Linked DNA regions of Stegostoma tigrinum. The protein of the gene in region 1 interacts with the protein of each later gene in a pairwise test. Links are inferred from orthologs where the notes say so. Each region holds a gene or a part of one and is shown in the gene's direction. Other genes may lie near its edges. The genes, in order: pdlim7, phf1, zmynd11 and serine/threonine-protein kinase PAK 5.

Region 1 (7,684 bases):
GAACACAGCAGACCAAGCAGCATCTTAGGAGCATAAAAGCTGACGTTTCGGGCCTAGACCCCTCTGATGAAGGGTCTAGGCCCGAAACATCAGCTTTTATGCTCCTAAGATGTGGCTTGGCCTGCTGTGTTCATCCAGCTTCACACTTTGTTATCTTGCATTCTCCAGCATCTGCAGTTCGCATTATCTTTAAGTAAGTTGCAGTTAGGTAAAGTGGAAGCTGGTAGACTGATCATGAGAAATATTAGGATTAATCAAGGTTTCCAGAACACAAGCATATGGAAGACGGTTTCAATAACATGAAAGTTTAGGGCAGTACGCAGCGGATAATGTTATAGAGATGCACATATATAATCGTTTCATTGGGGAAGATAACAATTAGAACCGTACCCTGTGATTAAGTAGAACATTGGGATTGTGCACAGCTGGGTTCACTACATATTGATGCCACCGTTGCCCCTTAGGCAAAAGTTTCTAAATTAAACTCCCACGCCAGCTACTTCAGTTAAAATCGAGTCTGACTGTAAATACAGTATTGAGGGAGTGCTGCATGGCTTTCAAGATGAAATGTCAAACTAAGGTCTCACCTTCCTCTCAGGGACAAGTAAACAATCCAAGGCACCATTTTTAAGAACAAAGGAGTTCTTTTCAGAGTTCTTGTCAACATTTGTCCCTTAACTAATATCATTTAAAATGTCATCTGGTCCTTATCACATTACCACTGTCAAGTTGATAGTGCAAAATGTGACTGCTGTGTTTAGAATCCAAAAGCGAAGTCACTTTAGTAAATCTTTATTTTGCACTAATTGACCTCAATTGTAGATTATCAAATGAAGCTTATGGAGGTTTTATGGAGGTGCAGAAAAGAAAACTTACTAATATAATTCTAGGAACAAAACACTTCAGCTACGTTGATGTATTGTAGAGGCTGGAGCTGTTCTCCATTAAGAGAAGTTTGAGATTTCATATTAGCTTTGAAAATGCTTGTAGGGTTTAGACAGAGTAGAGAGAGGGAAAGTGTTCTTATTGCTGGATGGGTCAGTAAACTGAGGAGACAGATTTAAGATGATTGGCAAAGGAATCAAATGCAACTTGAGGAAAATCATTTTGATGCAGCAAGTGACTAAAATCTGGAATGCACCACACAAGAGCATGATGAAGGCAGAATTAATGACAGCATTTCAGAAGAAATTGAATAAGAACCGGGAAATTAAAGACTTGCAGGGCTTATGGCAAAAAAAAATGACAGGTCCAAGGGTCCAGCTGTATTGCTCTTGCAGAGAGCTGGCATGCATATAACTGACAGAATGGTCTCCAATGCTGTAATCATTCGATGATTATATCCTGTACCAGATGTCAGGCAAGCAGTATTATACTATTATACAAATGTAGGGATAATTAGACGACTGAACTAATAATGTGAAGCCATGAGTTTCAAATTTGAATGCAGTTAATTAATCAGTTGAAAATCTGATAATAGTAATGATGATCATGACGTATTGGAGTGATATATCTACATAAAAATGTGAGTGACTAATGCCCTTTGGAGAAGAATCTACCATCTTTACCCTGTTTAGCTTGCAGGTGACTACAGACTGTGATGATTACAGAGGTTCAAGGAGGCAGTTCATTATCACTTTCTCAAGTACATTCAGGATGGGCAGAAAGCACTGGAGTTGCCAACAACATCCAAGTTCAGAGAATAAATTTTGAAGAAATACCTAGCAGTATAAATGATGGATATTGCCAGGATACATACTGATCCCCAGAACAGCATCTGGATAATGAAGAGATGCCAATGATGGATCTAAGTTAATGATTGTTTTGAGGAATAAATGTTATTAGTCGGGATGCTCTGGCTTCCTTTGTGTAGATGATTGGATGGGACTAATGGACCCAAACTGGACCACAGAGAAAGTGTGTTGGAAGATGATGGTGTGTTTGGTGTGTAAAAGGGTGAACATGGGGCGAAAAGAATAAACAGTGACAAAACATCACACACAAATCCAGAAACAGAATATAAATTCCTAATTTTGATTAACATTGCTGAGAGAGTGGCAGAAATGGGTGATGTTGGAGGAACAAAGTCATTTATGAGATCATTGTCAGGGGCTATTTGTTAGTCTGGAGACCGTTCTTAATTCTGTCTGACTTTCATTAATAAAAAGTGATTATCCCCAGTGTAGGGCTCTCTACATGGGAGTCCTTCCACTTTCCATTGGGGATCTGGGATGGAAAGTGTTGCACGCAGCAGTCCCTTACAACTGCAGATTGTAGGCATTCACAGACTCCCAGCCAAACTGTTTATTTTGTGGCACTGTGGAGCCCATGGGCCAAGTATATATTGGTTGTGGGCAATGCACACCCATTTTAGTTATTTAAAAACTCTTTTGTTGTGTTTTGGGTTGCACTTTAGCACCACACTCCTGATCTTTGGGTAACTGGTGTGGACAGATAGGACGATGTCCTCATGGGTCTACTCCTGGACCTGGCTAGGCTGGTGATAAACAGGTCCATGCAGCGGGCAGTGAAGAGGTGATCTCTGCCAGCCGTCTGCATGTCTTCCCTCAATTAACTTCTTGCCTGAGTATCATTGGAGAAGAAGCATGCTGCATCCATCAATGTTCTTGAAGCCTTTAGAGGAGGATACAGTACTTTATTACCCCCTCCAAATCCATTTGATTTAGTCCCTTCCCACTTCCCCTCCTCTCTCACACCTCACTTTTGATGGTTAGCATTGTGTGCAATGGGCTTTGCTTATAAATATTCAAATAGCTACACAGGATGTTTTAATGCGGGTGGTCAGTAGGTTAAAAACAAGCACAAAAATGTTGCCATGATTTTGGTGGTGGGAACGTAGCTCAAAAGAAAGAAGCGGCTCTATTTATTGAATGTGTAGATTGTCACTGTGTCTCCGGACTTCAAGTCTCTCCTCCTAGGAAGGCAAACAATGGACAGTCCAGAAATAGTACAATGTTTAATTTCTGTCGCATTCTGTATCTATTGGTCTAAAAGGTCCTAGTATCAGAGATGTTCAGAAATTTGTCCCAAAGCTTCAAAGTCAATGCAATCCCAGTCACAATAGTACAGCAGTGCAAAATGTCTTTGGCAAACTGAGTACGATCTGTTTTTGGTTGGAAGTTCTGGGGTGGTTTAAAAGAGTGTAAAATAGCAACTGTATGGGTTCTTAAGGTGCAATGGTACTGTCCCCAAACTGAGGCAAGAGATCTGGGTTCAAGTTTCAGCTGTTCTAATGATGTGACTGGGGAATTATTTAAGACAATAATCTAGGGTGATGAAATTTTGTAATCTGTCAACATAGCTGAAGTATTTTGTCTTCAGAATTATATTTGTAAGGTTTTCCTTCTGCACCAAGCCTTCATAACCTTTATGCGATAAACTACAACTGAGGCCAATTAGTGCCATATAAAGATTATTCAAGTGACCTTGCTTTGAGATTCTAAACACAGCAGTTACATTATACACAGTAAACTTCACAGTAGTAATAGGATAAGGACCAGATGATATTTTCTGTGTTGTAGTTGAGGGGCAAATTTTGCCAAGAACATTGAAGAGAACTGCCTTGTTCTTCAAAATAATGCCCTGGATTGTTTAATTCGCCCTGAGACCTTGGTTTGAAATTTCATCTTCAAGACTGTGCAGTACTCCTTCAATACTGTATTGGACAATCAGGGTAAATTTTAGCTGAGATAGCTAGTGTGGGAGTTTAATCTGATTGCATGCTGATTTCTAATTGTGTAACCATCCACAACAGACAGAAACGTGTTTTTTTATTTCTGTAAACTTTTAGGTTCAGAGTGGCGCAAAAACGAAAAAATACCGGCGTAGCTTTTGAACAATTATTAATTCCATTCCGCCCGCTCTCCTAACATTTATTTTAATGATTTTTTTTCGAAATGCTCATTACTTTACTACTTGCTATGCTTTGTGTAAACTACATTTTCTCTTAATTTCCTTGGGATGAGATTTAATGCTGCTTCTTTATCTGAATCATGAACTCCTTGTAACGTGTGTCGCCGTCTGTGTTATCAGACACACCCGAGTCCTGTTTTTGACTCCAAGGTTTAGAGCCAGACTGCTGGGCGTGACGTTTTGTTTGGTCGGAAGAATCAAGTAATTGCTTTATTTTGCAGGAGTATATGAAGCTCGGTGCTAACTAGAAACTTGCAGTGTTTTGACACGAGAGCAATCAGCGGTCATTTAGCAAGAGAAACAAAGAGGCTACTGCCTGTTTCCCTGGAGGCATCGCATGGCAAATTTGAGGTGCGCCCTGTTCCTGGCATTTCCTATGATGTAATTCTGGCCTGATAAATGGGCCATGTTGTATCACGAACTCCTTGCCATTTTTTTTAAACCAAGGGAACACTTCTCACCACTTTATTCCCCCTCTGATCAAAAGTGGGGATCAGAGAACACTGTTGATTAAGGAATAAGACATCTAACACACAACTGATTTCCATCAGTATTTGACTCTTTTAAGATGTAAACTTTTTAAGTTTTACCGTAAATACTGCGGGAGTCAACTCACTCCAGTAATCTCCAGGCAACATCAAGTGACTTCAATTTAAAGTATTGCACTGTGTTCTTAAAAAAAGTCTCTGGTTGAAAGTCTTAAGATTGGACGGGAAATGGCAGAGTGACGTGTTGTGTGGCGCTTGAATTCCCTGGCGTGAGTCATAAAAAAGTGCTGAAAGTGTTGGTGTAGTTTTACACGCCTTATATAGCCTGGAAGCTCGGAGCTGTCATTCTCCGTAGGATAAAGTGAGTGGCTGTATCGCCGCGGATCTACCTCCCTCTTTCTCCCTCAGTTCTGGGACTGCGCTCAGTTGTTTCCTAATTCCACCGCCCCCCCCCAAAAAAAGTTTTCTGATTCGGTCTTTAGACAAGCAAACAAAAATAGAGAGCCGTTGTTTTTTTTCCAGCAAACAGCAACCTCTCCACCGACGATGGAGTTGTACAAAGTGACCCTGGAAGGACCGGCTCCGTGGGGTTTTAGACTACAGGGAGGAAAAGACTTCAACAAGCCTTTAACCATGTCTAGGGTGAGCGAGGGTGACCAGATATATCCTCTTTTATTCTCTCTCTCTCTCTCTCTGTACTTGTTACCTGTTTGTTTCATGAAGTGGCAAAGTCAAAGCAGGGTTTGTGACATTTTAAGACTAAGCAAGTTGAGTAACCCCCTACTAGCCATGCAGTCTCACTTCATGCTTTTTGAACTCCCGGTGTAATCATTCGGGCACCAAGTTTAAAACGCACCCTCTGATGTAAGTGTGTGCTGCAGTTGCTTCATGTTCCGAAGCGAAGGGAGTTAGGGCGTTAGAGGGGTACTGCGGCTTTTCAGCTGATGGCTGCACGCGGCTTCGTGTCCTTTAGTTCAGAAACCGTGAAATTAACTCGCAGGCGTTTTGTGTTTGAGAGCCAACAATTCCTGACTTCGAAGGAACCCAGAGTAACGTGTTAATGCAACACAGGGTGGTCGTGTGATACAAAATGGTATCTTTAAAATCGCAGTATTGAAAGCATTCCAGCGTGATTCTTGCATATCAGGAATGTGAAGGGATTAGTAAAAGGCTGAAGCTTCCAACTACACTGAGAACGAGCAGTGTAAATTGATCTGACCCCTCTGAGTAGACTGCCAGCAATCTCTTCTTCGAACGGACCAGATGAGGTCACTATCACATCTCATAGTCTTTTATTTAGGTCCAATACCAAATATCTTACATTCGAATGCAAACGTTTCGACAGCTATTTTGTTTTTTTAAAAACTGCATTTTAACGCGTTCTGATTATTGCTTATAATGTTGTCTCGCAACATAATTTGATTCTGAACCCAGTGATAACTTTAATACTGTAGTTCCAAACTGAGGCATGCTATCTTCGAGTAAATGTTTCAATTCTTTGTTACCTTCAGATAAGCTAGATGATTTTCTTTTGAATAAATCTGATTTGAAAAGGATCATTGCTGCAGTCTTTTGCAAGAATGCATTTATTTGCCCTAATTTATTACCATTTAAAATTTATTTTGGAATAATTTTACTGCAGTGTTTTAAAAACAGTTCTTTTATGACTAAAATTCTCTTGCGATCTATCCTCACTCTTCCAAGAGCAAGGAAGATTCTTTTCTTATGACCAGATATGGGCAAGAGTTTCAGCATGGAGAAGAAGGATAACAACTCCATATAGGTCTCAGAACTTGCATTATTGAAAGGGTTTATTGAGGTTGCATGTTAATGCTGCATCCATATTTGTACTTGCTCTTATTTTATGTGCTTTCTTTTGCATAGCTTAGTTTACTTTAAGGTATATTTGGCATCAGTGTATTGATTGTTGTCATCATTCATTTTATCACAATGTTTTAAGCTCTGGGATTTTGTTTTATTTAAAGTCTGTAAATTTTCCAGTCAAGAAAGCATTTTGTAATTGTATTCTACAACCAGACATTTGACTGTTAGAACAGCAGTGTTCTGTAGATTGTTTTAAATACTGCAAGCTAAAAGCAAATTCCAGACTGTCTACAACTTGTACAGAAAACACCCCCCATGCCACAATCCTCGGCCCTGCAGCTCATTCCACCCCTACTTTTTCTCGTTCCCCTCTTAGCAGGTAGGGACCTTTGCAATACGCTTTTAACACCTATTTCCTTGAACTAACTTTTGGCCACTACTATCCCCTTGTTTGGTTTGATGTTATACATTAAGAAGTTTTTAATTAACTTGTTGTGATGCTTGTCTGGAGCAGATGGTACTTGTACAAGGACGTTTTGACCACTGAACAATGAGCCTTTCATACTTGGTTTTGCGCTTGCTCCTTGCGACATAATATTACATTAAGGGTATTATTTAAACAGTTGTTATCCCCTGGTCACCTCAGCTCCACCCCCCCCCGCACAAATCTCTCCATATGCTTCAACGTGCTGATTTCCTCTCACAACCCTCCTTGTCTTGCGACATTGCCTCGCCTCAGATCCCCTATCATGTTCCACCCAATTAAATAGGCTTTCTTTAAAACTATATACAATTATATTTATATATACAAGCCGAGTAAAGTGATGAATACATTTGAATATTTCCAGAGTGTTGCTAATGCAGTAGAATGGAGCGGCAACTTGAACTTTACATAGTCTTAGCAAACGATAGGCAAAGTTGGGGCTTAGAATGTGAGGTGGAGGGGAAGAGTGTGAAATCTGTTGAACAAAAGGGTGGCACGGTGGCTCAGTAGTTAGCACTGCAGCCTCACAGCGCCAGGGACCCAAGTTTGATTCCAGCCTCAGGCAACTGTCTGTGTGGAGTTTGCACATTTTCCCCGTGTCTGCATGGGTTTTCTTCAGGTGCTCCAGTTTCCTCCCACAGTCCAAAGATGTGTGGGCTAGGTGGATTGGCCCATAGTGCTAAATTGCCCATTGTGGTCAGGGGTGGATGGGTTTGGGTGGGATGCTCCAAGTGGCAGTGTGGACTTGTTGGGCCAAAGGGCCTGTTTCCACACTGTTTGGAATCTTAAAGAAAAGCAACATGATGCACAAAATTTTGGCTATTGGAATTTCTTACTGTGAAGTAATGTTTGTCCTTGGCTGCAGTTTTCTTTTGCTGGTTGATCCATGTTTCCTAATGCATTTGGATCCCTCAGATGTGTATAATTAAACAAAAAGCTACTATGAAGACAGCAA
Region 2 (7,628 bases), on another chromosome or scaffold:
GTGGACCAGAGTGGCCTGGAGAGAATGGTCCCTGTGGAAGGTTGACAAGGGAGGGAAGGGGAATATGTGTCTGGTGGTGGCATCCCGCTGGAGGTGGTGGAAATGGTGTCTGATGATCTTCTGAATGTGGATGCTGGTGGGTGATAGGTAATAGGTGAGTACAAGGGGGTCCCTACTGCAGTTGTGAGAGGGAAGAGAGGAGGTGAGGGCTGTAGTATGGGAGATAGATTGGACCCAGCTGAGGGCCCTGCCAACAACAGTGCTGAGGAATCCTCAGTTGAGGTAGAAGGTGGACATTTCAGAAGCTCCCTTGTCAAAATTGCCATCATCAGAACAGATGCATCGGAGGTGAAGAAACGGGGCGAGTGGAATAGGTTCTTTAGGTCTGAGGATGTATAGTCTAGGTAACTGTGGGTGTCGCTGGGTTTATGGTGGATATGGTGGCCAGCCTAAGCCCAGAAATGGAAACAATGATGTGTAGGAAGGGAAGGGAGGAGTCAGAGATGGACCAGGTGAAAGTGAGAGCAGGGTGGAAATTGGAAGCAAAAGCAAAGCCTCGACCTATTTCGCTACATGACCCATTAGAGACTCAAGTCCAGAGAAATGTTCCTCCTAAATCTATTTAAGTTTCTACTTAATTGATTCTTTCCAGCTTTTTTTCCTCTCTGAGTCGATGTAATTGCCTAGTGGAATTATTGCTGGAATATTAATTCAGAGTCCAAGGTAATGTTCTGGAAACCTAGATTTGAATCTTACCATGGCAGATGGAAGAATTTTAATTCAATTTCTTTTTAAAAAAGTCCAGAATTAAAAGTCTAATGATGACCATAAACCCATTATCAATTGTCAGGAAAAAAAGACTGTCTGGTTCACTTATGCCGTTTAGGGAAGGAAATCTAACTTACATATTCATGTGGCCTGCGTGTGACTCGACATCCACCACAAAGTAACAGCGATGGGCAATAAATGCTGACCATGCCAGTGGCACCTCCTTCCCATGAATGAAGGAAACAAAACCATGCAATTTCCACAATCTCTTTCCGAGTATACTGGCATGAACATTTCACCATGCTGAGGGCTGAAATTTTCTCAGTCCTAGTGACTGAAAGATGGCTGCATAGGTTTTTCCACCTTGGAGGTTTCACAGGTGAGGACATACTTGCTGAGGTGCCTAGTTCTCTTGAATGCTAAGGGAAACTCAGAAGTATTCACATCCTCTCCAATAACAACACCATCAGTGTTCTGTTAGACACTTGACTGCATCATATATTTTGTCAGCGATGATGCGTTTAGGTCACTGTTCCAGAGTGACTTTCCAACCTTTTCTTTCAAGAAAAGTCTTCAAAGAACTGACCAAAATCCCTTCATCTCTATTTTAGTTACCAAATTCCAAAAATGATAACGTATACTGTAAACCTTTCATCACAATACCATCATACATAGGTGGTTTTCTGCACTTCTGTAGAAAATATTAATTCCAAACATGATTAATTTACTTTAAATCTTTATGAAATTCTATCATATAATTACCACTTATTCCCTGGACGCCTCATTACTGCAATACTATTAATGACACTTCCCATCATTGCGAAATACTTGACCCAAAATAATCTATTTCCTAGTGGACACCTCAGTATATCCTGCATACTTTCCATGACCCATCCTCCATGCTTATACAAGTTTAGCTTTTCCATTTAATGTGAGGCTTAAAGTCCCCAAAGCCAGCAATATTACATGGACGTCTAATTTCCCGATTTCCATGTGACAAATGCTGACAGAGGGATCACTGAGCAACTCCCACCAATATTTTCTGTCCCTTAGTGTAGCTTGTCTCCAAAAACTGGTGATTTTCTGACTGAACTGATGGCCAAGATTCCGACAGCACACTCTCAGACTTCAGAAATGGCTTTAACACACTTCTGAACAGTCTGAGGGATTTTTCTTTTTCCCAACAATTCAGTACAGGTTTGAGTTCCCTTTGATCCCTGAGGGAAGTTGTTCAAGGGGCATATGGTTCTCCTCCAGCTATTACCATATCTTGTTTTGACATCATTCCTTGGTTCCCTCATTCCTGCCAATTTGTGATTGCTCTACCTGTTCAAAACTTGGGTTCATTTCATTGCCAGACCCTGTTCCTTAGAAACGCTTTTTCCAGAAAGAGATTTTTAAAATGACATCATGGTAAGTGTGCTTTTTGGCTGCAGTGCTGATGCCTGTCAGAAGTGGAGAATGAGATAATTCTCCAGTGCTGGCATTGAGTACCACAATTAGACGCAGGGCAAATCTCACTGTCTCTCTATAACCAACCCACTCCACCAAAACAGTGCGACGTCTGCCTATTTCCCACGGTTTCCACACCCTGGCAGCTTTGGGGCAGCTTGTCCCTTGGCCCATCGCCCATTAGTAACTGGGTTGAGCGATTGCCCGAATTCATTTCATGCAGAACCTTCACAGTTGACAAAGGAGACTTTCATCCTGTCAGAACTTCACGTCGAAATGTTTGGCTTTTGTCTCAGTCAACAGCCTGTGACTTCAGGTTTCCAGACACATTTGACAATAGCATACTCCACAGAGGATCAACTCCCGATCCAAAGCCACCACAGTTCGCCTTCTCTCTCTTGCTCTCCTACCTGCTGTTTGATGGAGCAATCCCTGTATTGTTAGTAGTTCATAGAACACAATTACAAAAAAGGGAGAACTTTTTGTCTGGTCATGTATAAAGCTTCATTTTGCTTTGCAGGAGAATTTGATAAACCTCCCTGGAGCACTTCAGAGGCAGTTTCAAAGTCAAACACGGTGGGCCCTTGGGCAGGGGATGGTATTGACAGTGACGTAGGACTGGGATTATATACAGCCCAGACTGGGTAAACAATGTGAATGAACCAGAGATAGTAGGAACTGCAGATGCTGGAGAATCTGAGATAACAAGGTGTAGAGCCGGATGACACAGGAGGCCAAATGAACCAGTTGGATTATGATGACAACCCAACAACTTCGTCATCATTTTACTGATCACAGATCCTGCTCTGGCTTTTTTTAATGAAGTAAATAAAGTTGAATTCAACAATTTTCAAACTTGCCACCTATTCTTTGTGTCATTTGCAAACTTGGCTATAGTACTTTTGCTCATCCAAGCCATTTATACATATTATAAATAATTGTGGCCCCAACACTTTGATGCCTGTGGCACACCACTATTTAGAGTTTGCCATCCTGAAAATTCCCTACCTTATCCCAACTCTCTGTCCTCTCCTAGTGAGCCAATCCTCTATCAACGCTAATATATCTTCTCCACACCATGGACAGCTATTTAATGGCCCAATGTGTGGCAGCTTATCAATCATGTTCCGTAAATCCAAATGTATAATATCCACTGTTTCCCTTTTATCAATCATGCTTGTTGTTTCCTCAAAGAGTTGTAAAAAATATTGTTAGGCGTGATTTCCCCCCTTCATGAAGCAATGCTGACTCTGCTTGATCATATTATACATTTCTGAATGCTCTGTAATTACATCCTTTACAAGAGACTCTAACATTTTCCCAAGAACAGAGCTTAAGGTCACTGGCCTATAGTTATCTTTTCCGACTCCTTTCAAAATAGCGTTTGGGGCTGTTCTCTGCAAGAAGGCGAAAGGGGCATCAGAGAGAGGTTCTCATAATCTGGATAAGACCCAGAACTGTTTAAAGCATCAGGAACGAGAGGACACGGATTTAAAGCGTTTTGCAAAAGAAGAACTAGGGTTGGGGAGCTAAACTAAAACAAATGTGCTGGGCATCTGAAAAAAAAAACAGGAAATGGCTGAGAAACGCATCTGCAGAAAGAGAAAGTCGAGCTAACGTTTCGTGTTGTGACCCATCGTCAGAACGATTAAAGTGGCTGTTCGGGCCATCGTGTCTGTACTAGCTCTTTGATAGAAATGCCAAACAGCTTTCCCACCTTTTCCTCGTCACCTTATAAATTCCCCCCGCCCCTATGCCGTCCGTTCACATAAAGTGTTGCAAAGTACCCCGTGCCGTCTTTACTTTCTGCGTGTGGGAATCTTCCCGTGCACGGGTGGCCTTTCAAAGCGAAAGAAAATTCAGTAGACATGCCCCACAAAGCCCCATCTCGATGATTTCACGATCTTTATCAAACAGGTTTACAGTCTACTCCCAAAGCTGAAGTATTTATGAGGCTAGCGACCTAATTGGGGAGAAAATTTCTCAGAATTCAACGAAGTGCCCGAGAGACGGGGTGGGGTAGGGTTTGGACTGGGAAATGTTTCACCGAAGTCAAGTTCTTTCAACTCATTCCGCCTCGTCACTGATCCTTCCTTCCCTGGCGAACGAAATGCAAAATCCCACAAGTTGTGTACAGTCTGCAAATACAGAGTGGTTCTAAACGGTTTCTGGGGAGCATGTGTTTTTATTATTTTGTAAAATAAATCATCCCTAATTATTTATTGCACTCCTAGTGGGTGTTATATAATTCAATCATGCTGCTGTCAACAGCGCAGGGCGGAAGACAATGAACAGTATTAAATGTGTGGCGAACATAACGCGCACTTGTTTACACAATTTCTCTCTCTCTCTCTCTCACACACACACACACCGATTGAATTTCAAGCCGTGGACCGAAATTAGCTGTAGTCTGCGTCACAGGAAGATGGCGACTGGCAGAGCTGTTGGAGACGTGTTGTATGTGTTTTTATCTGAGTTGAAAACCTCACTGTGAATGAGCCAAGTGCAGACACACACACACACACACACGCACACTGCTCCAGGAGAGAAACTCCCGCAGTTCATTACTGGGTGTGGAGCCAGCCGCTGCAGGTGAGTGTTTACTGTAACAGATAGCGGGGTGGGATCCTATCGTCTTGGGGAGGTTTTTAAAAAAAGGAAAAATATGCCCCAGAGAAACGGCAGGATGAAGCCCTCCGTGCAATTTTTTTTGGAACTTCCTCCGCTGGGCCAGAGAGAGAGAAAACTGCAGCAACATGCCCTGTAATGTGTAAGCAACTGGGGGCGTCAGTTTCTCAACACTCTCCCTTATACATGAGCCTTCCCTTCCCAACTCCCCCCCGTACACCTTTACAAATAGCGAGATAAAAAATATAGTCGGTGTGCAAAAAAGATATGGGAGCAGGAGGGAGAGGTTGATTTTAGCAGACGTGAGGGGACACACAAATCGCTAGATCTGCGGAACAGTAAAATGTTGTATCATTTCCTCGTCTCCAGCGGAATGTCTGATTTCCTCGAGGATCGTCAGGTCACTGGCGGGGGCAGATTTGGGGCCGAAGGAATCAGACGGTTCAGTAGGCGGCCCTTCGGCCCGTCTGAGTCTGTACCGCCAAAAGTACGCTACGTTCCGCCCACATCATCCCCTCTTTCCCTACGTGTGTGTCATACGGGAGCAAGCTGTTCCTGATCAATATTCTCTCTCTCTGCATGTTGTATTTAGGGAGGAGTTGGGGCGGGAAGGGGGGTGCGCGGAAGGATGCTGAGGTTTTTCATACTGTACATTCTTTCCTCCCCGTGGAGTTTGCATCAGCTATCCGCTCACGGCCCTCATAAGGGAAAAGGGGTGATACTTCTGCAGAACAGCCACAAGGCACACGCCCACCTGCCTCTCGCTTTGATAGTGTGTTATGCATGCAGCTTTGGAAGGGGGAAGGTCCTGGGCTGGGGTGCCCGCCTCGTTGTTTTGATTTGCATTTCGAGACTCGAATAGAGACTCTTCCACACCCCCCCCCCCCAAACCCGGCCAACAAAAACACACACACACTTTCAGATATTACGGCCAGCCAGCGCTGTTCGTTGCAATTCAGGAAGGATGTACGGTGTACGCAGGCCTCAGAGAGGGGATGCAGCACAGAATCAACTGGTTTGATACTGGCTCCGCAAGGGTTAAACTCTGTGGACAGCTTGCAAACTGTGTGCGCGTTCCCTTCGACACAGGAAGTCAAGCAGCATCCCACTCGGAGCGTTGAAAACGACCAGGGTGAGTAGAGCCGGGAGTCCAGCACATAAGGGGGCAGTTTTTCATTGGATGGTGGAAATTCGACACCCCCTCCCACCCCCCCCCCCTCCCCACCGCCAAAAGACAGTGAGACAAGAGTTGAAAACTTGCAAGTCAGGGAGTATGATGGCCACTCGCCTGGGTAGGTGCAGCTCCAACAACACTCGAGAAGCTCGACAACAGTCTAGGAAAATGCAGCCCCCGCTTAATTGGCACCACATCCACAAGCATCCGCTCCCTCCACTCCCAAGGCAAAGTGGAGGAAATGTGTGCCACCAACCAGATGCATTGTCAAATCTCCTTTGCCGGCATGTTGCAAATTCAGTGACCTTTACCTCCTGGGAGGACAAGGGCAGTGGATACATGGGAACACCGCCACCTTCAAGTTCCCCTCCAAGCCACTGTCCATCCTGACTTAGAAATATGTCGCTGTTCCACCAAAATCCTGGAATTCCCTCCCTCACAGAATAGTGGATCTGCCGACAGCATGTGGACTGCAGTGGTTCAAGAAGGCAGCTCACTACTGCCTTGGGGGCAGTTTGGATGGGCAATAAATGTTACCCAGTGATTGACACCCATACCAAATGTGACCCTACAAAAGGCTAATTTTAAAGATTTTAACCTTGAAGTTGGTAGAATATGGTGTGGGAAGGTGCCTCCCATTCTTAGAAGAAATAAAGGCACAGGCAGTTTAGCATAGACAATTTGCAGTACAGGTATGCATTGAAGAGTTGTGCATGTCTCTACACAGTAGAAATAGAGGGCAGAAAGTGTACACAGTTCTTAATATATTATTGGCTGAAGCTATTGATATTCTGTAGATTCACCATTCTGACTTAGTTTAAATTTAATTTAACAATACCAATTAATATTTGTAAAACCTAACTCCCACCCATTTAGAGATACTGTACACTTTGCTTCTGAGCCAATCCCCTTATACATCTGCTTGTGATCAGTTAGCCATGTTAGGCTGAGCTGAAAAAGAAAACGTTAAGACATTTTAGCTGTTTGAGATAAATAATGACAGGCTGTGTGCGTTTGTGAACATTCATTAAATTCCTGTCAAAAAGGATTGTTTTTAAATTTCCAATTATTTACTTAATATAGACCTTTATTTATTTTGAGGTTTACTTAGTAAAGGCAGTATACATTATGCTTTTACATAGCTTCAAGTTTAGACAGAGTTTCTATTCTATTCTTTGGTATTTATGAAGCTTGGTGTTGTAACTAACATCTGTCAGAGCAATTAGAAATATTTGGTTCTTTCTTGCTGCAACTGTGCAAAACACTAGTGCGGCTGCATTTGCAACATACAAGATGATCAGAGGAGTAGATAGGGTGGACAGTGAGAGTCTTTTTCCGAGGATGATGATTTCACCTTGTACAGGGGCTGATAGATTTAAGACAGATGACAGAGGCTGGTTCTTTACTCAGAGAGTGGTAAGGGCGTGGAACGCCCTGCCTGCCAATGTAGTTAACTCAGCCACATTTAAACAGTCCTTGGATAAGCATATGAATGATGATGGAATAGTGTAGGGAAGGGGCTTAGATTAGTTCATAGGTCGGCGCAACATCAAAGGCCGAAGGCCTGTTCTGCACTGTATTGTTCTATGTCTATGACATGTTGATT
Region 3 (7,367 bases), on another chromosome or scaffold:
TAATTAGTTTTGAACATATAACCAACTAACATGGAAGCCAACAATAACTGAAGTTGCTGGAAAAGCTCAGCAAGTCTGGCAGTATCTGTGAAGAAAAGATCAGAGTTAACATTTTGGGTCCAGTGACCCTGCCTCCGAGGAAGGGTCACCGGACCCGAAACGTTAACTCTGATTTTTTTCTTCACAGATGCTGCCAGACCTGCTGAGCTTTTCCAGCAACTTCAGTTATTGTTCCTGATTTACAGCATCTGCAGTTCTTTCAGTTTTTAACATGGAAGCCAATCTTCAGCCAGTGTGATTCACTCCAACACTTCGGCAAATTCTTGTGCTCCAGAACAAATTGCACCCCAAGCCAAAGCTGTTCCAGTGCAATTGCAACACTGGATTCAACCTACTAATGTGGAAAATTGAGATACTGGATCCAACAAACCGATGGGCTCCAGTGGTTCCCATAATTGCTATGCTGAAGAATTGTAATCAAGACCTAGCCAAGACATTTCTGTATAGCTACAGTTGAAAAAGTAAAAACTTGGCTAAGTTTGTACTCCCCAAAAAAATGACCAATCCATTCTGTCCAATTAGTGGCCCTATAGTCATCTCGGAATCTGCGGAGCCTGTCTGCCCACGAGGTACGATTCAGGAGTGTAATGTATTATTCCCACTTGCCTGGATGAGTGCCGCCCCAACACCACTCAAGAAGCTTGATACCATCCACGACAAAGCAACCTGCTTGATTGGCACCACGTCCATAAACATCTACTCCTTCCACCGTGACTCTCAGTAAAAGCAGTGCATATGGTCTACAAGATGCATTGCAGAAATTCACCAAAACTCCTCAAACAGCACCTTCCAAGCCAATGATCAATTCCAATTGCAAACTTTTAGATAATGAAACATTCCCAGTACTTGTCTGACTGTTTCATTCTCTACAATTCATCATCTATTATCATGGACATCCTCCCATTGCAAAGTTGTGTGGAAGACTGCCTAGCCAGAGAGATGAGAAGCCTAAGCCCTCAATAGACCCAACAGAGAGATGTTTTCAGGATCCTCAATGCAAGATATCTGTTTTAACCAAATTGGTGGTATAATGGACAGGGAACGTTATCCAAGATTACAAAGGTACATTGATCAATGGGGCTAAAGGGCTAAGGAGTGGCAGATGGCATTAAATTTGGTTAAATGCAAGGTGTTGCATTTTGGTAAAACAAATAAAGGCAGGACATACACAATAAATGGTAGAGCCCTGGATAATGTTGTCAAACATTGAGACCTACGGGGTTCAGGTAAGAAGTTCTTCAAAAGTTGTGTCACAGGTTGAAGGCAATTAGCATGCTTGCCTTCATTGCTCAGACCATTTAGTTAAAGGAGTCAGGGCATCATGCTGCAGTTGTACAGGACATTGGTGAGGCCACTTTAGGCGTACTGTGCATAGTTCTGGTTGCCCTGCTATAGGAAGGATTTTATTAAATTGGTGAGGGTTCGGAAAAGACTTACTAAGATGTTGCTGGGACTAGAGGGTTTGAGTTATAAAGAGAGACTGGATAGGCTGGGACTTCTTTCAGTGGAGTGCAGGAGGTTGAGGGATGACTCTATAAAGGTTTATAAAATCATGAGGAGCATAGATGAGGTGAATCCCAAAGGTCTTTTCCTTCAGATAGTAGAGTTCAAAGCAAGAGGGCGTATTTATTTAAGGGGAGAGGAGAGATTTGAGATGGACTTGAGGTACAACTTTTTCACACAGAGTATGGCTAGTATGAGGAATGATCTGCCAGAGGAAATAGTAGTTGTAGTTTCAGCTATAACATTTAAAAGACATTTGGACAGGTATATGAATAGAAAAGGTTTCAAGGGATATGGACCAAATGCAAGCGAGACGAGTTTAGTTTAGGAAATTTCATTGCTTGATGAGTTGGATCGAGGGTCTGTTTTTGTGCTGTATGACTCCAAAATATTTACATCTGGACTTGGAAACTACACCTGCTCTGACTCATCATAGCTCCAACAACTATCATCTAGGTTCTACTGCAGACCTGCCATAAAAAGAGATAATAGGAACTGCAGATGTTGGAGAATCTGAGATAACAAGGTGTGGAGCTGAATGAACACAGCAGGCCAAGCAGCCTGCTTCGAAGGTGCTGCTTGGCCTGCTGTGTTCAGCCAGCTCCACACCTTGCCATAAAAAAGGCCCTGATGGGATTAATAGCAATATGCAAATATTTAGATAGTATTTTGCTGGAATAGTGACACTGTCACTGAAGTTATAATTGCAGCATAATTCTCTAGAGATAGGGAGGTGAAAATAAGAGCGAGAGAAGGACAGTGAAGAGGAGGAGGAGAAGAAGGTGGTGTAATGAGCAAAAAGAGGGATCAGTCTGTTCAGTGATAGAGAGGGAACAATATGTTTACTGATGGAGAATGTTCAGTGTCATCAAGATGGACCGGGATCACTGTTTCTGGTGCTGGAGAGGTATCAGTGCATTTGGTGGTGGACAGTGATCAGTACATTTCGAAATCGAGCGTGATCAATGTGTGTGGTGGTGGAGAGGCATCAGTGCATTTGGTGATGGAGATGGATCATTATGTTTAGTAATGCAGAGGGATCAAAAGGGTACAGGGTAGTGGAGAATGAGGGAGGAGACGTGAAGGTGATGCTGGAGGATGAAGACTAGAGAGGGTGAAGGGTGGTTGATGGTGGAGATGAAGAAGAAAGAGAGAGGGTATTGATGGAGATATTTGAGGAGGTGAGCGGTGGTAGAGGAGGTTGAGGAGCAGAGAGGGTGATGATGGTGGAGACAGTGATGATGGTGAGGGAGGAGAGAGGGTCCTTGTGCCAGTGGAGGAGGAGGAGAGAGGGTAGTGTTGTAAGAAAAAGAATAAAGCATATAGTAGGAGCAGAGATGGTGGAGGAAGAGGAAGTGGGAGGGCGATGGTGACGGAGGAAGAAGAGAGAGGGTGCTGGTGAAGAGGAAACAACCTGATGGTAGAGGGGTCAAGGAAGTGACAGGGTGATGGTGGAGGAGGTTGAATGGAGAGTGGTGATGCTAGAGGGGGAGAAGGAGAGACAGAGTGATGGTGGAAGAGGTCAACGAGTGGAGAGGGTGATTGTGGAGGGAGGAGAGAGGGAGATGGTAGTGGAGGAGGAGGAGAGAGGGTGATGTGGTTGGGGGAATTAGAATTATAATAGGTTCATTGTCAAGTGTGATCAAGTACAGGAGCACAGTGAAATGTTTACAGTGTTGCCCCACATGGTGCCATCTTAGGTACTAAGTATCTGGGTGCAAATCTTAGGTACAAAATAGAGAGAGACATAAGAAGGTTACATTACCATACATTAAATCATAGTATAAGTTAGAAAAATAAGGACCAACACTAAAAAGATAAGCTGAAGTTTTTCTATAAAAGGCCTGCAGTAGATCAATGCAGGGAACTTCCACCTGTGACCTGACTGGTCTCACAAGCCGGCGATCACCCACGCTGGTTCCCCAGTCAAACATCTGTCCTTGATCTGGGCACATTGGTTGAGGAGGGGGATGAGCAGGGGAAGATTGTAGTGGTGGTGGTGGAGGAGAGAGGGTGATGTAGAGGGGTTTGAGGAGGAAAGGGTGATGGTGGAGGGTGAGGGGAGAGGGTAATGTGGAGAGGAGGAGGATGAGAGTGTGTGTTGTAGAGGGAGAGGAGAGTGTGAGATGAGGGTGGTAATGGAGGAGGAGAGAGTGGTGTGGAGGAAGAGAGTCAGGGGCTGCTTCTGGTCATGGTGGAGGATGAGAGTGAGGGATGAGCATGACAGTGGAGGAGGAGAGTGAAGGATGAGGGTGGCAGTGAAGGAGGAGAGTGAGGGATGAGGGCGGCAGTGAAGGAGGAGAGTGAGGGGATGGTGCTGGAGGTGGAGGAGGAGAGTGAGGGTGACAGTGGAGAAGAAGAGTGTGGGGTTGGTGCTAGAGGTGGAGGAGGAGAGTGAGGGATGAGGGTGAAAGTGGAGGAGGTGAGTGAATGGCAGGTGCTGGATGAGGAGAGTGAAGGATGAGGGGTGACAATGGAGGAGGAGAGTGAGGGATGAGGGTTAAAGTGGAGGAGGAGAGTGAGGGATAATGGTGAAAGTGGAGGAGGAGTGAGTGGCAGGTGCTGGAGGAGGAGAGTGAGGGATGAGTGTTGACAGTAGAGGAGGAGAGTGAGGGGTTGGTGCTGGAAGTGGAGGAGGAGAGTGAGGTTAGACATGGACAGGAGAAGCACAGTGAGGGATGAGGGTGTTGGGCGGAGGTTTGCCTGCTGCTATTCCGAGCTCTGCCGCTGAGGGGCGTGCGCGGACGGAGGGGCCCCTGTTGTTGATGTGGAGCCGAGTCCGAGGGGGAAGCGAGCGGAGCCCGATACTGACAGGCCCCGCCAGCACCGGGCACAGGGGCCGCGGGAGGAAAGGAACTCCACAGCGGCTCAGCTGCCGGGCGGATCGTCCGGAGATAACCGACCGGGAAGTGGCAGAGGTGAGCAGAACCGGGGTCCAGGATGGAGGGGGGACTCGGAGCCGGGGAGCTCGCTGTATGTGTTGGCGGGTGGGAAACCGGGAACATGGCGGCCCGTCTGCGCCCGGCTGTAGGGGAGGGTGGCCTCGCCTTTCGAGGAGTGAGGAGTTTGGCGGGGGGTGGGTTTACTCCCAAAGCCGGGGAGAGGCTGCAGGCGGTAGCTAGGCCGAGCCGGCCTTCCCCAGTGTGTCTCTGTCTTTGTTTTATTTATTTCACTTCAGACCCTGTGGCCGGGGTTTAATGTTCTCCTCCTCTTGCCGCTGCCGGACACACTTTTCTGTTCGAAGCCCGACTTGTCGGGAGACCAGTGTTTTTTTTATTGTTAGGGAAGATTGTCTCTCCACATCCCCCCCCACCCCCTCCTTCACCTTTTTAAAGGTGGCGATGGGTGGGAAAAGTCAGAAGAAAACCAGACCCCAGGGAACTATGACCATTAATAGGGTTTACGAACACTCTCTCTGGGCTCTGATGGATGGTTGCTCCTTGAACGTTAACCATCATAGTTTCGTAGAGCTGGCCCACCTTTAAATCAACAGTTTAGCCCTGGTGTCTGTATTCATTTGCACAGTCTGTGTGGCAAACGTTGTATTTCAAATTGACTGTTAACTTGTAACACCTTTTCTCACTTCAGTTTTTCCTAATGACTTGGAATGACTGGGGTGGCAATTGTGAAAGCCAGGGGGTCAGTCATTTTCTCTGTGGTCTTGTTTCTTTTTTTTGAGAAAAATCAATGGCCGACGTTGCACTTTTGATAAAGGCAAGTACACTTTAGGTTTTGTAAACGACTGGGAATTTTACAGCAGGCAGTTGATACGTACATATGTGTTTGAAAATCTGTAATGCTTTACATGTGTGACACATGCAGTGGTATTAAATAGTCTGTCAAGCGTGCATAGTATTCCAGAATTAAAATATAGCCTTTGGTTTCTGCTGTGCATTATGGCCTCATAAATTAAAAGGAATGTATCTTGCCTGTAGTTTGGAAGTCTAAGCTACTGTTTTACTTGTTGCTGGTATCTGATCCTGACTTGCATTGGCTTTTAAATCATACTTGTATATAGCAGTTGGTTGTCCCATAATTCTTTTATCTATCTTTACCCCCTCCTGTTTCTCATCTGCATGGTGCTGCTTTGCAGCATCGTCTATCAGGTTTCAAATGTACGTAGGCAGCACCCACCCCTTTCTCCCATGACTCCCCCATTTCTAGTACTGGCAGACTGTTAGTCTGGAGATGAGCAGCATGTAGTGGTCTTGCCAATGATGCTTACATCCCTTGAAAATATTTTAAGTCTGGGCTGAGTTGCACGTTTTTCTAACCTAACCTTAAAATGATCAATACCAGTTTTTATCCAACTACAAACTCTTTCCTTGTCACTGATTTCCTCCTCTTCCCTGGGTGTTTTCTCGGGCCGAAATATAGAACCTCGGCGACCATCTGATTTGAATCAAAGTTGAATTTGTAACTCCATGTCATGTCGATCCAAAACTGCCCCATTCTCTTTCTGATCCTGCCACGGCTGTTGTTACCCTTGCCTGTGCTTTAGTTACCTTCTGTTCTTGGCTTAGCCTACCCTCTTTTGTTTTCTAAAAGATTAAGCTCTCACACTCTATATTCTAGCCTGCAATACGTTCCATTTAATCAAGTAAGTTCTCTGTTTGTTGACCTATATTAGCTCCTAGTTCAGTAACTCCTCAATTTTAAAATTCTCATTCTCTTGTGAAATCCCTTCGGGAAGTAAAACCACCCCGACTTGATTGCAATCCTTCAGAAGCTCGGATTCCTCCAGTTCAGGATTCTGATACATATCCCACTGCTAGTGTGGCTTAACGGCTTGGTCTTCAGCTCTGAAAGTTCTTCCCCAAACCACCCTTCTTTCATCAAGGTTCCCTTTAACCTATCTTTCTAATCAACCTGCTGCTGTTGTTACACACCTCTGGAGCAGTTTAGACTTGAACCCAGGTTTCTTGCTTCAGGGGTAGGGGCACTACTGCTGTGGTGCGAGAGGGCTGCTTCCTGTGTTTTTTAAGTTTAGTCACCTGACCTGTTATCACCTCCTTTGGCGTGGTGTCAATTTTTGTCTGACTGCACTCCTGTGAAGCACTTGGGTTGTTTTCCTGTGTTAAGGGTGTTAGTTAAACAAAAGAAGTTGTTATTATGGATGAGTTTTGCACTCGCCCATTGCCTGACTTGAGTAAAGTATAATCCATTCATATTGAAATTAATAGTGTAATCTCCATCTGTCTCAAGTAGTGGCATTGTATTGACACCAAGTTATTTTATATGCAAGCAAGAGCTGCATACCAAGTGCCCCTGCTTTACCCATCTCACATGAAGTATTGTTGTCAGCCATTCTTGTGAGAGAATTGAGCAGATTCATCCATGCAAATGCACATAGATAAGCCTTTCATGAGAGGTGACCCTGCTGAGAGCATAGAGCGTAAAACAGGTGGTGCCACAAATCCATCATCTTGCATTGAATGTATGTTCACCTGAATTCAACACTTCGTAACCGCGTTCAGAATCATAGTCTTACAGTATAGATTTCTCCATTTCTAGTTATGATTGAGTTTGCTTCCTTGACTTTGCCATCAATATTGATAAGTGCACATATTTTAAAAATTCAGAAGATAATTCCTTATTTTAGCCATCTATTTTACGTGCTTAGGAATTGCAGGATGGGTAAAGATCAAGTCTTATCTAGTTCAGTTACTGTCATCTTCCTATTTGCAGGATAGAACAATTACTGACTGACCGCAGAGTAATCAGTCTTCCTTTCAAGTAGTCTTTGACTGGCCCCAACAAGGAAAACCCCAGTGCTGGAGAGCATTAAGAAATCATAACCTATT
Region 4 (7,921 bases), on another chromosome or scaffold:
AAAGGCGCGCTTCCACACTGTAGGGATTCTATGAAAGGTGAGGCAGTCTGAGGGAACATGACTGGATGGATGCTGAAAAGATGCTTCTGCATGTGGGAAAAACTGGAACTAAAAAGTATAAAGTTTGGAATTAAAAGGGTCTCCTCTGAGAAGACTAAAAATGAGGAATATTTTTCCCTCTCAGACAGTCATGAGTCTTTGGAGGCAAGGTTATTGAATATTTTTAAGATAAAGGTGGATAGAATTGGATTAACAAGGTAGTCAATAGTTATTGGGCTAGAAGGGCATGTGGACTGGAGATCAGCCATGATCTTGTTGAGCAGGTTACAAGGGTCAAATGCCCTGTCTTGCTACAAATAGGCATGAGTGAGTGTGAGACAGGTGGTCCAACAATAGCATCTCTTACTAAGCCAACTTGCCCAGCCTCAAGGTGATCATCACCTAAAGCCAGCTCCAGTAGATAGGAAATGCTGTTTGCATGGGTGACACAAGATTCTGTTTTGTTTAAAGCTCAGTCAAGACAGGAAGACACACAATTGGTCAAACAAATGTTCTCAAAGCATCCTTAAAGAAATCTAACACCTCTGACTCATATGAGTCTTTGATTTTTGACTGAATTTTAAATGCATTTGTTAGAATTCCTTAGCTTGGTCTCCAGGCATTGCACTACTGGAAAATGTTGACATCATCATCCAACATCAACCCCCTGTTTGGGTTCACCCGCATTCACAAGGGATCACTTAGTCATCTTTTGACATCAAATCACAAATGTCATCATTCGTGAGAGAATGCACAATTGGACATGATACTCATTTATCTCAAGACGGTTGGAATATAAAAGCAGCGATATGCTTCCGAGGCTTTATAAGGCTCTAGTTAGGCCCCATTTAGAATACTGTGTCCAATTTTGGGCCCCACATCTCAGGAAGGACATACTAGCCCTGGAGCGTGTCCAGCAGAGATTCACACGGATGATCCCTGGAATGGTACGTTTAACGTATGATGAACGGCTAAGGATCCTGGGATTGTACTCATTAGAGTTTAGAAGGTTGAGGGGAGATCTAATAGAAACTTTCAAGATAATGTATGGTTTAGAAGGGGTGGACGCTAGGAAGTTATTTCCGTTAGGCAGGGAGACTAGGACCCGTGGGCACAGCCTTAGAATTAGAGGGGGTAAATTTAAAACGGAAATGAGACGACATTTCTTCAGCCAGAGAGTGGTGGGCTTGGGGAATTCATTGCCACGGAGCGCAGTGGAAGCCAGGACGTTGGATGCCTTCAAGGCAGAGATCGACAAATTCTTGATCTCAGAAGGAATCAAGGGCTACAGGGAGAGTGCAGGGAAGTGGAGTTGAAAAGCCCGTCAGCCATGATTTAAATGGCGGAGTGGACTTAATGGGCCAAATGGCCTTACTTCCACTCCTATATCTTATGGTCTTATGATACGAAGCTCAAACAATGTTGGATTTGATAATTTAGCAGATTTAAGTGCTCAGAAGGCATTTACTTATATTAAAAATGATTAAGGAGCCTGTTTATGAGGAAAAGCTCTACAGTTCAAGCAATCACAGAAAGTGGAATTTTTCTCTTCCTGGTATGGCATGGCAATGGTGAGAAAGGTGGTAAAGTATAGCGAGAATGGAGAAATCAGAATCTTACCATTGTGGAAAATTTTTTCAAACTTTTCTCTTAAGTTTTAAATGTATCTCATTGTTGAGTGGTACGTATCTCATTTCCATGTATTTACATCAAATTAAAGACCCAACTTGACTTATTTATGCACAACTTTCAATTCTGCTCGATCCTGAGAAACTATATGGTGCAAATTCCTGACATACAAGTCAGAGAGAGTACCTGGGAAATGCAGCTCACTGATTGCTTGTTCTAGCTGTAGAGATTGTAACAAGGTCAGCCAAGTGAGCCTCATAGATTGGGACTGTTAACATGGTCCCATTAGGGACCCCTGGCTAATAGATAGAAACGGAAGTGTTGGAGGTTTGTTCACTCTAACAGCTGGCTCTGAGGGGACTGGATCAGTGTCAAGAACTTTCCATCTGAGAATAAAGGGTGACTTAGTTACGGGATATCAGCCTCTGGGGAGTTATTTCAGTGGTGACAAGAATGGGATTAATGATATAACCATGCAAAAGCGCCCACTAGCTGAAGCCTTCCTGGACTTCAGATACTACAACTGGCTTTATCATTGGAAAATGCAGAAAAATGGAGCATACAAGTTGCAAGGTATTCCAAAAGAAGTGGACCCCCTCACCAGTCTGACTGAGCTTGGGAAACACCACCTGAGTGAAGGAAATTGTATAGCCTCACTCACGACTGAACAGAGGCACTGTATGTCATCCCACAGCAAAACCCCAAAACAAAGCAAAGCCCCAGCCAAATGATTACAATTTTCTTCAGGAGTCAGGCCGGCAAACCATTGTAGTTGCTGCCAGCATGACACAAGAGTCCCACTAGATCCAACACTGAGTCCAAGGACGTAGACTAATTCTTTTATTTTGTAGCTTCTCCTGGGCCATTTTAGCACCAGGTTCCGCCAACTCTGGCACTGATACGTGCAAGTGTAACGTAACTTGCACATCTTGGAAGAAATTTACTCTCCTCTTCCGTTGGCAAAGGCATCAAGGTGGTAACATCCACCACGTCTACCTCAGATCGCCAGGTATCTTGAAAATGCTTGACCGAAGAGGAGAACCCAAGCATTCTGGAACTGTTGGAAAAGCAGTCAAGGAGCAGGGAACATGTTATTTTCATATGGTTCATGTGCTTCTTCAGGACCATCGTACCTACTCAAACTTTATATGTCACCACACCTGGCCTTTAGGCTATTGCTGTGATTCCTACACCAAACTTCATCCCTGAAGTAAACTGCCTCTCTTGCTTAGCGGAGTCCGGTGTCTGGCCTTGGTGTTCCTGATGCCATTTCACAAGCCATCCTCCAACTGTGTCTTCATCACAATTGCTCTGAATGCTCCATGGACACTATCATCCTCGGTCCTTCATCTGTGCAAGCTGACAAGAACAAACCACCAATTTCATCACATCAGCTAGCTGTTCCTGGTCCAACTCCCACACTATTCACCCTTTCAATGCTTTTCTTTGGAGGTCTTTTGACTGAATGCTTCTGCCAGGCTGCTAAGTGCACAGCAACACATACATGTCTCATGCATCTGCATGTGATGCACCTTGTGGTTCTTAGCTTGATTTATATTTGTTGTCTCATTTTCTACTTGATTTTCCTTGACTTCTTTGGGCAATCCCACTTTCAAGTATCAAAATATTATGTGTCCTACTGTCTATTAGGTAAAAAGACAGCAGAGAGATAGTGCACGATCATGGCACAGTACTAAGGTTAGATAGTCCTTAGGGCTTCAGTCAACACGGCATATTGAAATGCTTTGCTGTCATGATCGTGAACAGGTTGAGAGACTCCTGAAGCATCTCATTTTGATCCTCCCATCATTAGTAACCTTTCAAATAAAGACAAATTACTGCGGATGTTGGAAATCAGAAACAAATGCAGAGAATATTCAAAAAACTCAAAGTCTGACACCATCTGTGGACAGAGAAATAGAGTTAATGTTTTGAGACTTGCAGAACTTTTTGACAGAATTGAGAAGCTGACTTAATATTTCCGTTAATGTTGATATCATTGCCTTCGGACAGACAGTTGCTTATATTCCACGAGTTGCTATCTCTGAAGCTTTTAGGTTACTACACCAGTGTCAATATGATTGTTATATAATAGTGGAAGTCTTGAGAGAGTTAACGCTGAGGAATGTCTTAAACAAAGACCAATATAATGACGTCTTGCTAAACTAGGGAGGTGGAACAACTCAGTTTCTTGAAGGAGGCAGAATTACCAGCTTCATAATAACCGAAAGAAATGTGGGTGCTGTAAATCAGGAACAAACGTTGCTGGAAAAGCTCAACAGGCTGGCAGCATCTGTGAAGAAAAAAAATCAGAGTTAATATTTCGGGTCCGGTGACTCTTCCTCGCAACTAAGACCCACCAGCTTGGTCTTCTCCATTGTGTTTGAAACAACGTTGATTGCAACGGTCTAACTTGCAACGCATGGAAAATGCACGCTAAACTTCGCCGAATTTGGGAAGTGTCTGAATGATTAAGAGCTGGTTATGGGCCACGTGAGGAAATTAGTTACGAGAAACGTTTTGCAGGTTAACAAGAACTGAAAGAGACGGTTTTTACGCCCGTATGGGTGATTGGAGCTATAAAATCCCTAGGTTTTGTGTTCCTCTGAGATGTTGCTACAAGGCGGCATGGGCATGGCCCATTGTTATGAATGAGCCACGGGCTCACCGGAGCTCCCAGGAAACATTCCATTTTCTCAGGCAATTCCGACCCCGCCCATTTCACTGGCGCCCTAGCCACGCCCCCTACCACTATGGCCCGCCCATTGCATCCAGGCACCGCCCACCGCTCGTCTTGTACCAATCCAAGACCCCCATCCTTGACCCGCCAACAACCCCCCTCAAGGAGAACGTACGCACGTGCACAACTTTCCCGCTCCCCGGGCCCAGAAGCCGCCTGTTTCCCCGCCCACAGCGCGCAGCCCGCCCCCTTGTGCCCCTCCTGTCACCGCCCACCGGTGCAACGTGTCCACCAGTCCGTCACCTGGATGGACCCCAACCTCCGCCGCCCTGCCCCGACCCTTCGCGTGTTCTCCCCGCCCCTCATTGTAGCCCCGCCCTCTACGCGTCTCATGCCCTCGTGCGGCTGGCCCCGCCTTCACCGCCAGCGTCCCGCCCTCCCCCGCCTTTGGCCCGTCCCCTCTCCTGGGTGAGACCGCCCATCGACCGGATTGCCCCACCCTCCCATCTGGTTCCCGCCCACCGCGTGCCTGGCCCCGCCCTTCCCGCTCCCCGGATGTGGCCGCCGCTCTGCCGGCAGTGGATGGGTAACATGGCGTCGTCGGTGGAGTAACAGGAGAGGGAAAGCCGGCTATCGTCACCTTAGACAGACAGATGGACACATCGTTATTTTTCTGCAGCTGTAATTGATGAAGGCTCGGACAAGGTAAGATTGATTCGCGCATTAGGGATGAGGTAAATGTCAGTGACATTGTGTCGATGATGCTTCGATCTGACGGCTAGCGATGAGAAAACGGTTGAAGCGCGCCCTGACAGCAGCTTTTTGTTTCGTTCTGAGAGAGGGCAGCGATATTAACTTTACTCCTCAGCCTCACAGACAAAGAACGCGGTGCTGAAATTAGCCTCGACGGGTATCCTTTCGGATCTGCCTCTCTGGTAGGAAACAGGTGCAACGTTGTGGAGAACCGACCATCTCTTACAAACCAGTGCCGGATTGTGTCTCTTCCCGCAGGAAATGTCAGTTTTATTTTCCCCTTACAATTTAAATGACACTTGGGATCATTCTCCCCCCGCCCCCCCAGTTCCATCACAAACAAAAGGCGCTCTCTTCGTCTCCTTCCCCTTTTCATGTCAGCGTTGTCACACGTTTGCTGCTTGGTTCGTTCTTCCACTTGAATGAATGACCATTTGAATCGAGGTTCCCCTTTCTTTGGCATTCCCTTTATCCAGTACCCTCCAGCTTTGTACATCATATTCTGTAGTACAATACTTTCACGGGTTTGAAGTGGAAAAGTTTTTTTTATCTGTCAACATTGCAAGGAAGAGCGACGTGCATAACCGTATATGAAAGTTTTCATAACAGATTAGGAAACACGTATCTCAGAAATTTGGAGGAGTATCTTCGAAGAACCTTATGGTGGTTGACTCGTCAGACAAGATGTCATTTCTTTCGAATGATCATATGGTTTCTGGAAAAGATTTGTGTTGGTTTTATTTTCTATATATGCTTCTTGCTATTGTACTGAGTACAAAGTAAAATTACGCAATTTGATATTTCCATCTGTAGTTGGTAACATTTGTATTTTAACGGAACTTTCTAATTTGGTAGTTTTTAAAATACTCATATTGCTGACTTAGCTATATTTGCTTCTTGAATGGTGGGATAAATTGCACACACTTACAAAGTAAACACATTCGGCTATTGTTCGTACTTTGAGTTTTGTCAATTGCTAATTGGTCTTTTCTGTTGAGACGTCGTTACCATCAGACTCCAGGTAATGTTCTTCAAGTCATTATGGTTTCAGATGGGATACCCCAAATCTTGTATGGAGCTTGTATGAAGAAAGACAAACTGGTTTCTTTGTAGATATCTATCTTCTACAATAAATTAACTTGAGTTTTAGACCCAGTTTAAAGAGACTTTCTTGAATATCAAAAGAGTGAGTTCATTAATGACTAGGAGAAGAAATAATAATGCAATGCGGCACACAGAGATTAGCAATAAGAAGTGAGCCCAAACAAAATGGTTTCAAAGAACAGTTAGTCTTTGAGTACTTCACGAAGCATCGGAAGTAGAACATTGCAGCCATTACAGTGGTGGTTAACGATAGCGTCTACATTGGTAATTGGATCATTTGATTTTAATGATTTTAGCTTTGCAAATTGATTTAAAATTTTCCTAGTTCTTGTTGAAAACAATACTTGTTGGCTGGCAGCACTCGGAGTGGGACAGAATATTTTCTTTCTTTACCTGTAGTGCTGGAATATTTAATGTCTTTTCTCAAAACGGTTGAAGTTCACTATTAAACCATATCCATGTGTATCCTTTAAAAGAGGAAAAATCAAATATGCCTCTGAAATAACTACATAGAGACTGCTATCCCATCACCAAGTCATTCTATATTTCGATGTGCACAGTTCATGGGCTCTGACCAGTCAGCTCACAGCCAGCCCCTTGAATAAGGAGACTCTTTGAATCTTCTGTTTATATCTGTCAGCCACCAGGACTGGCCCAGGGTTAAAAACCCTAATCAAGGATCTCGTAGTCAAGTAGACTAACCTGGCTCTCTTCCAGATTGGTCTTCCAGTTTTTGTTTTAACCGTCGTATTCGCAATCTGAGATGCTCATAGGGAGGGAATGGGAGTTCAGGTTTTTAAATTCATTCTTGGGGATGTGGGCATCACTGATGGAACTAGTTGTGCTCCTGAGATGCTGCTGGGCCTGCTGTGTTCATCCAGCCTCACATTTTATTATCTTGGATTCTCCAGCATCTGCAGTTCCCATTATCTCTAGTGATTATTGGTAGTCTCTGGCTGTCCTTGAGAAGGTGGTGGTTTGTCATCTTAAACCCCAACAATTCTGCTAAGGTGGGAATTCCAGGAATTTTGCCCAGAAACAGTTAAGGAACAGCAATAAAGATTGAAGTCAGGATGGGGTGTAGCTTGGAGAGGAATTTGCCGGTGGTGGTGTTCCATGCATTTTTATCCTGTCTTTCTAGATGGTAGTGGTAATCTAGAACCTAAAGAGCCTTGGTGAACTTCTGCAATGCATCTTTTATATGGCACACATTGCTGCTACTGAGTGTCGGTGGTTAAGGCTGTGAATGTTTGTGGATGTGGTGCTGGTCTAGCAAGCTACTTAGTCCTCGGTAGTGCCAGGCTTCCTGTGTTGTTGGAGTGCACTCATCGAGGCAAAAATTGCATCATATTCTTGACTTGTTCCTTGTAATTGGTGAACAAGCTCTGGGAGTCTGGAGGCGAATAAATTGCTATAATGTTCCGAGTCTTTGACCTGCTCTTGTCACTACACTTACATGACTAGTGCAATTCTGGTTCTGGCCAATGGTAACCACCAGGATGTTGATAGTGGAGGTTTTTGTGGTGATAATGTCATTGAATCGCAAGGCACATTGATTAGGCTCTCTCTTATTAGAGATGCTTGTTGCTTGGCAATTTTGTTATGAAAATGTTACTTGCCACTTGTCAGCCAAAACCTAGATACAGTTCTTGCTGCATTTGGACGTTGACTGCTTCAGTAGCTGAGGGAGTTGCATATTATGCTGAACATTGAGTA

Evidence for each region.
Region 2: the proteins of pdlim7 (region 1) and phf1 interact in binary tests that used the Homo sapiens proteins (3 or more experiments, as listed by UniProt). The two-hybrid records come from large-scale screens. The link is inferred for Stegostoma tigrinum from reciprocal best matches to the Homo sapiens genes PDLIM7 and PHF1.
Region 3: the proteins of pdlim7 (region 1) and zmynd11 interact in a two-hybrid assay, tested with the Homo sapiens proteins (2 studies listed by BioGRID). The link is inferred for Stegostoma tigrinum from reciprocal best matches to the Homo sapiens genes PDLIM7 and ZMYND11.
Region 4: the proteins of pdlim7 (region 1) and serine/threonine-protein kinase PAK 5 interact in a two-hybrid assay, tested with the Homo sapiens proteins (2 studies listed by BioGRID and IntAct). The two-hybrid records come from large-scale screens. The link is inferred for Stegostoma tigrinum from reciprocal best matches to the Homo sapiens genes PDLIM7 and PAK5.

Annotation. Positions count from the first base shown.
Region 1 is NC_081366.1:43,155,049-43,162,732, forward strand, and holds the start of pdlim7 (PDZ and LIM domain protein 7), read left to right. Parts: upstream 1-4,678; 5' UTR 4,679-4,782; intron 4,783-4,788; exon of another isoform or gene 4,789-4,943; 5' UTR 4,944-4,967; coding exon 4,968-5,063; intron 5,064-7,684. UniProt on the Homo sapiens protein: May function as a scaffold on which the coordinated assembly of proteins can occur. May play a role as an adapter that, via its PDZ domain, localizes LIM-binding proteins to actin filaments of both skeletal muscle and nonmuscle tissues.
Region 2 is NC_081387.1:17,109,894-17,117,521, forward strand, and holds the start of phf1 (PHD finger protein 1), read left to right. Parts: upstream 1-4,615; 5' UTR 4,616-4,812; intron 4,813-5,696; exon of another isoform or gene 5,697-5,980; intron 5,981-7,628. UniProt on the Homo sapiens protein: Polycomb group (PcG) that specifically binds histone H3 trimethylated at 'Lys-36' (H3K36me3) and recruits the PRC2 complex. Involved in DNA damage response and is recruited at double-strand breaks (DSBs).
Region 3 is NC_081355.1:137,701,982-137,709,348, reverse strand, and holds the start of zmynd11 (zinc finger MYND domain-containing protein 11), read left to right. Parts: upstream 1-4,365; 5' UTR 4,366-4,481; intron 4,482-7,367. UniProt on the Homo sapiens protein: Chromatin reader that specifically recognizes and binds histone H3.3 trimethylated at 'Lys-36' (H3.3K36me3) and regulates RNA polymerase II elongation. Does not bind other histone H3 subtypes (H3.1 or H3.2).
Region 4 is NC_081362.1:7,933,074-7,940,994, forward strand, and holds the start of serine/threonine-protein kinase PAK 5, read left to right. Parts: upstream 1-4,918; 5' UTR 4,919-5,053; intron 5,054-7,921.